Linked DNA regions of Drosophila melanogaster. The protein of the gene in region 1 interacts with the protein of each later gene in a pairwise test. Each region holds a gene or a part of one and is shown on either strand. Other genes may lie near its edges.

Region 1 (3,756 bases):
CCACATCGAATCGATGGGGTCTGGTCGGAGTGTGCGACTGTAACCTTGGACTTGCCCCCTGGCAGCCGGACGGGTTTTTTTTCTTATTGTACCATACTCCGTATGTATGTACATATGTATATGTTCTCGTTCCGAATTTTCGTATTGTTTGTTTGTACATATTTCAAATACGAGCAGCCCAAAGCAACCAGTTTGTTTGCGGTCCACAGTTGTGGCACATACTGGCAGTCGCAATCGCGCAACTCCACAGCTCCACATTGACGACGATGACGATGACATCATCGTCACTAAAATCGCTCTGCGCAATTACAATAAAACAACACTGAAAATGAGCGCTCAAACTTTTATTGTACTAACTTGGATGAGGCAAAGTCGCCGTTTTGCCGGCTCTCTGTTGCATGAAAATGTAATTTTCGCTGGTTTTGTTTGTCAATTAGCGGGTGATCGCTAATAGAAGTGAGGGGGTGGGGGTGGGGCGAAGCGCTGGAAAGTCAATAAACAAAATGCCAAAATCAATATGCAAATTGTGGAACAAAATGTGTGTGATTGCATAATAAACAAGGCAGATAGTCAGCGAAACATAATGAAATTAATTAAAACGGGCAGAGCACGTACACGAACTTTAAACAAACTATGGGGCGGAAGTCCAAGTTGGTGACGAAAGCCCGCTCTCTGTCGAACAATATACACATGTATCCGTAAATGTATCTGAAACTGAGCCGGTGTATCTGTATCTGAGTTTGTATTATCAGGTCGTCTTTCATTCCAACTGGACCGCCGAATGTGAAAAATTTCGGTGGCGTCACCGCACAAATAAATATTCATTCTTGAATTTTTGTGTATGTACTATTCTCGCCATATTGAGATGTGTTGGTAACCTGGTAGATTGATCGTGTATATTAAGTAATAGTATTGGTTTTAAATTCAAAATAAACAGTGGAAAGAACATCTAGACCGTTGCTCTCCCTCTAAATTCTATATAATTCTTAGTTTTCCTCTTATCACTTAGCACATTTAAATCTACTTACAAATGAAGCTTTTAAAGTTTTTAATGAGTCTAGTCAGAATAGTTCTTATTCTAGTCACACAATTTAATGTTCTTGATTAGTTCTCCATGAATAGGAAACATTAAGAGAATGCTATAAACAATTTAATACAAGATAATGGCTGATACCGTTAGTGCGCAGACATACGTCACTATTATAGAACAAGCTAATGGCACACATGAACCTGAGCTACGGGCTTATCAATAATTTCTATTTTGGAAGCAACCCAAATATGAAAAAGCAACACAACTGCCGACTAAATTGGGGAAAAACAAAAAAATCCAAAAGGCCTGAAAAAACAACAGTGAGATGGTGAAAAATGTTCAGACAGCGCGATACAATGCGGTCGCTCTTATATACATACACACACATTTATCCACATATGCATATGTATGTATGTATATGTATCTTTACTCTTGTTATGCACTGCAAGCGGCTGCTTTTAGCCGATGTGGTGTGGCTGGGATGTTCCGCTGTCTATTTAATCAACCGCAGACTTCTGCCTCCGGCGGACAAGAAAGCCGCCAGAACAGATCAGCACATCAGTCATGGCCAACAATTAGTTTCGATGCGTTCAGCCGTCATGGTGCCGAGTTCCGAGCTCCAAGTTCCCTTCATGACTGATCTTGCAATAAGGAACACTATGTGTTGGCATGTAAGTCAACTCATGAGAATATATATGAGAATATATAGCTCCTGAACCAGATACAAACGATCAGATAGCAAATATCTGAGTCTGGTCAGATTATTGATTCAACAGGTGATAAAGCAAACGTATCTAAAGTTTCAATACGGCAGAGTCTTCCCAGAAGTCGCTTTACTTTCAGTGATTCTCAAAGGGTGGCAGTTTTGTCCCCCTTTCGCATTCCAAGTAATTCTTTATGAATGCTTGTTATCTTCTACCAAAGACACTAGTTATTCTAGTGTCTTTGCTTCTACCTTGCAGTTTATTTGCAGTTGGTTGGGATATTTCTCACACTATGTACACATGTGCATGCTACCCCCATGGACATATGCAAAACTGGGGGCTCCATGTCACACATCTATTTAACCTGTTCCACACTTGTGTGTACATTAACGAGCAGTGTTTGTGTGTGTGCTGTCTTTATATAAAGAAAATATCTGCCCTTGGCCTTATCAATGATAAGATTAATGGCTTGCCAGACCCGTGAGTCAGACTACAAACGACTTACGGCCATGTCGGGGTGTGTAGAAGAGTTGGCCTGGTTGTGACTGTCAATACAAGTGCTTACATAGGCACACAAGTGTGGGGGAAACAACGCACACACACATACAACGAATCTCGCAACATACGATATACGATAAGTTGTGATGTATATATTAATATATATATCCATTCCGAAACATCCACAAACAGACAAGACCAGACCGATATACCCTAGCACATTGGGAACGGAGCTTCGAACTGAGCTCGGTAAAACGGGGCAAGGTTGGGGCATTATCGCATCACATGCATATGACATCAGCGCAACACTGCGTATACGTAATCTGGCGATAGTACTGATTGAATGAATTTAATGTCAGGCTCTACTAACCGTAGTTCTCCCTTCGTTTTCGTCCCCTTTTCCCCGCAAACAGGTAAACAAAAAATCTACTGTGCGAAATGCACGAAGAAGTGCTCCGGCGAGGTGCTCCGCGTGGCGGACAACCACTTCCACAAGGCCTGCTTCCAGTGCTGCCAGTGCAAGAAGTCCCTGGCCACCGGCGGATTCTTCACAAAGGACAACGCCTACTATTGCATACCGGACTATCAGCGGCTGTACGGCACCAAGTGCGCAAATTGCCAGCAGTATGTGGAGGGCGAGGTGGTCAGCACCATGGGCAAGACCTATCACCAGAAGTGCTTCACCTGCTCCAAGTGCAAGCAGCCCTTCAAGTCGGGCAGTAAGGTGAGCTGAAACCCTCCACAGATCGAGTGATAAGTAACTAATCACATATTCCTCCTCACAGGTGACCAACACCGGAAAGGAGGTGCTTTGCGAGCAATGCGTCACGGGTGCTCCAGTGTCGCCCAGTCGCCAGGCGACGGGTGGAGGCGTCTCCTCGCCAGCTCCTCCGGCGGAGAGTCCGACGAGAGCCACTGCCCACCAGCAGCACGGCAGTGTGATCTCTCATAAGGCGCACCTCAAGGAGGACTACGATCCCAATGACTGTGCCGGCTGTGGGGAGCTGCTGAAGGAGGGCCAGGCACTGGTGGCGTTGGACCGGCAGTGGCATGTCTCTTGTTTCCGGTGCAAGGCCTGCCAGGCGGTGCTCAATGGGGAGTACATGGGCAAAGACGCGGTGCCCTACTGCGAGAAGTGCTACCAGAAGGGATTCGGGGTGAAGTGTGCCTACTGCAGTCGCTTCATTAGCGGCAAGGTGCTCCAGGCGGGCGACAACCACCACTTCCATCCGACCTGTGCCCGCTGCACAAAGTGCGGCGATCCCTTCGGCGACGGCGAGGAGATGTACCTGCAGGGCAGTGCCATCTGGCATCCGCGATGCGGTCCGGGTCCCTCCGAGTCCGGCATAATTTTGAACGGCGGCGGAGGCACTTCGTCGGTGGTCGGAGGTGCCTCCAATGGCAACTTCACAGACACTGAATGCGACCGGATGAGCTCCAGTGCCCTTAGCGAGATGGTAAGTAGTCGGATCTACAGATGATAAACCGCTGGTACTGAGATAATTCTCGAGACTCCAACACAAC
Region 2 (3,756 bases), 3.8 Mb from region 1:
TGTGTCTCCGTTCGTTTGTAAATGTTTAAGCTAAGTGTAACCGTAGATGTACTTGTATACTATATCCTCCGACTGGTGTAGGTCGTAGCCCCTCCCAGCCCCGCGCCTCGTGGTTCAGTCTTTAATTTAAGGGGCGACCCCCAAGGTGAAACTAATCTTCCACGACCTGTACCCATTGCGAGGCCGAGTGGCTGGGAGCAGGGCTCTCCAACTCGAAACTCGTTGTTGAATCTGTTTGTCCCGGCTAAAGTGAGAAGAACACATCCCCCGGAAAACATAGCCCCTCCTGCCGCAGACGCACTATTTGAACTGCCCTCCCGCAAACGAGATCAAAGTCGGGCCGACCCGAAAAAAGGCAAAGTTATATTGGACACGTCTTGCGCCATTGCGTGCCCAGTGCTGGTCATTATTTAACTTTTAAACACGCGCCAAAAACAGCACCAGATTTGAATTTAATGGTCACAGCAGTTGCTCCCGCTCCCGCTACCGCTCCGGCTCCACTGGCATTAGCAGCGGGGCCAGCCAACAAGTGAGCAATAAAGAAAAGTTTAGAAAAATATCCCAATCCATGCTGCCGGCCGAATCACCAATCCGGAGTACCCCATCCCAAATGAATGGGTATATAGAACTGGGCACGGATTTGTGCGCACGATAGCGCAAAACGATGACAATAAATGGAAAACTTTTTAATAAGCTAATAAAATGATTTATGCGGGTCGAGCGATAAGAGGGATAAAAGGCACGGAGTTCCACTTCCAGATGGCCATTTGATGGGCCCGATTCCGGCCAATTCCGACAGACAGACACCTCATTGACGAACGCCAACCAGTTGGACCTGAGCACGCACACACACACACACATACACAACGAATGTATTCTTGAGCATTATTTATTGGATATTGAATGGGTCGGCCCAGCTCGCAGGATTGGGGCAGTTCAAGAGGGGAGCGTAGCCCCCACCCCCCCACCACCCTATCATCCCCCTTTCATTGGCAATTGTTATCAAGGCATTAGCACATCGGAAATGCTATACGACTATATCATACTCAAGACAAGGGCTAAACGACTATAAGTGTTCTAACGTTTGTCATATCAGTTGGGCGATTCAGTTCTTGACTTTCTATCGAAAAAACGTAATTGAAAAAAAGAAATGTATATGCTAAGTCATCGATAGCGATTAGTAAAATCAATGTAATGTCATAATGTTTAAATGTAAAAGTTATAGCATCCAGGTAACTGGTAGAGCAAATCGTAAACTTCCTCCAAGTTTATACATATATAGTAAAGGTCCCCGCTGTAGATAACCAAAATCGAGTGCCAGTAGTGCAATTTTAAAACGATCCCCAACAACCTGTAGCATCACGACATCCCCATGATCCATGTCGAGGTCAGCAGATACTATTTTATGAGCCTCAGAGAGGTCAACGATGTACATACATACATGCAAGCCCAAGTCCCGAAAACAGACAGACATACATACATATACACATCATTGTAACTGACTACATATGTAAAAATGCTTAAAATATTTGTGATAAAGTAATAATGTTAATGATAAGGAATAAAACGTAAATATATTAATGAGAATACATTGAGTTTGAATTAAAGCAATTCGAGTTGTATTTTCATTGCTGGGAGGCACAAGGTTTCCTAAATTCTTTTTTTAGCAATCTAAAAACGTTACCATATCTTCACTCATTTGAATGATTTTTTGATACCAATACAAAATTATTTTGTAGCAAAGCAGATGTTTTTGAGCTTGCAAGATAGCTCCATCGAGATTGGAATTAAGTTCTATGCTGGCTAATAAACTTATTTGAGTAAAATTTACCAAAACGAATTCTCAACACTAAAGTACTAAAGTAAAGTATGGAAATGTAGGACATGCAGATGACCGCCTTCGCAACCCCATTTATTGTTAAAAATACGTTACTATTTAAATTTGAAAAATGTGTGCCGTTCACAATGGACGCCCCGTCAGCCAGTGTTGGTAAGGGTGCGCAGCAACTGGATAGGTCAGTGTCCAAAAGGGACTAACGCGTGGCGAGCATAAACATCTGTTTGTCGGAGTCACAAAATGTAGGAAGTTTATGGTTTATAATAATTGATTGGATTGCTGGCGCAACTTTGGCGTCCCCGAAATTTGAAGTGTGTTGTGAGTGCTTAACCCACATGAGTGCAAAATTGCCATGGCAACGTGAATCGAACACGAACAGCAACACCCACACAGAGACCATTGAAGATCCGCGCATTGTGGCGCAGTATTGCATCAGCAACTGCGTAAGTGCAGCACATTGACTCCATTTTTGTTTTGCTGATGAAATCGCAGCGCGATTTTTGTTTCTTGTGAAATTCCGCTCTATGCTTGCCAAGCTTTTGTTTGTTGGTTGCATGAATTCGGTAAACGCGACAGTTACTTCCCGGAATTCAAACGGAAAGGAGCTTTCCGCGAAGCGTCCTCAATCAATTTCGAGATAGAGATAGAGAATAATAACGCAGCTGACGCGGTCAAAACAAAAGCGCTTGTGTAGAAAATCAAATGCGAAGCAAACGCGGCGAGGACAAGACGCGAAAAGCTGTCAAAACTACGCGCCGAAAAAGGAAAGGGTCTGGTCGATCAGAAATCCGCTACGCAACACAGATTGCGTATCTACATAAAACGTAATAATTTAATTGTGTGGGAGTTATCTCACAATTAAGAAGGTTCGTTTTTAAACTAAGTTTCCTTATTTGAACAACAATCGTAGAACTAAAGAGGTGTGTTTGAATTGTGGAAAGCCAAGCATTAATTGTTGAATAAAATTATCAAACGTCGCGGCTTCGCATCAAAATCGTGAAAAAGTTAACTTTTATAGTTCCAGTGTCGAAGGACGTAATGGCGTGTGACGTAATTAAACATTGTATATCCTGCCTTCTAATTGCAAAAATAAAGTAATTAGAATTAAAACCTATAAATTTACCATTTATCGTTAGCTTTAGTAATTAAATAGGTTCGTAATAACATCCCGCATTAAATATTTAGGTAACTTTCTTCTTGTGGAAATTCACTAAGTTAATTTTTTTAAGCTCAACCCCCACTTGCTAAACAAAAAATACGTTCCATGAAAGAACTCAAACGCCCTAGGGTAAGGTATTGCGAAAGCTTTTGAAGTATTCAGGTGCTTGTTCTTCGGTCAACAAAGCAAAACAATCGGGAGCAGGTTATAAACAAAATCGAAAGGCACCCAAAAGCGGAGAGCACAAGTACGCACACAACTACGAACTACAACTACAAAGCACAGCACTCAGAACCCAGATAGCCGAACGAACAACAAATTCGACCTGGGCAAATGAAAAGCGCAGCCAAAATCGATATTTTGTGCCAGCGTCGCGCGCAAATAGGAGCTGCTTTAGCGCTTAATATCTCGAATAAACTCGAGCGGATTGGTTTGATTAGTGAGCCAAATATAGGGATTATCTGGTAAGATGTTTGGAACTTGTCGTATTATCGACCTTCTGTTCCACCTGCCCCCGCGCGTGGGCTCGAAACAACGGCCAGAGTCGTGGCAAACATAAACAAGCATTTTCAAGGTCGCTGCAAGTCAAAGACGGCCAAAAAAACAAATGGGGAAAATTTCAGTTTTGATGGATACACATAAGCAAACGGTTCCATCAAAAAGATACATAGAAGTTGAAAAATAATTGTTTTTAAAGTGAAACAAATGACGTGGTGTCGAAATAAAATTAAAAAAACTTTAGTACAATATTAAAAGTTAT

What was found.
Region 2: the proteins of Unc-115a (region 1) and CG2017 interact in a two-hybrid assay, tested with the Drosophila melanogaster proteins (one large-scale study listed by BioGRID).

What each region holds. Positions count from the first base shown.
Region 1 is NT_033777.3:9,698,251-9,702,006, reverse strand, and holds the start of Unc-115a (uncoordinated 115a), read left to right. Parts: upstream 1-2,086; 5' UTR 2,087-2,378; coding exon 2,379-2,496; exon of another isoform or gene 2,497-2,575; coding exon of another isoform or gene 2,576-2,645; coding exon 2,646-2,956; intron 2,957-3,017; coding exon 3,018-3,689; intron 3,690-3,756.
Region 2 is NT_033777.3:5,860,694-5,864,449, reverse strand, and holds the start of CG2017 (uncharacterized protein), read left to right. Parts: upstream 1-2,044; 5' UTR 2,045-2,172; coding exon 2,173-2,280; intron 2,281-2,547; exon of another isoform or gene 2,548-2,703; intron 2,704-3,145; exon of another isoform or gene 3,146-3,460; intron 3,461-3,756.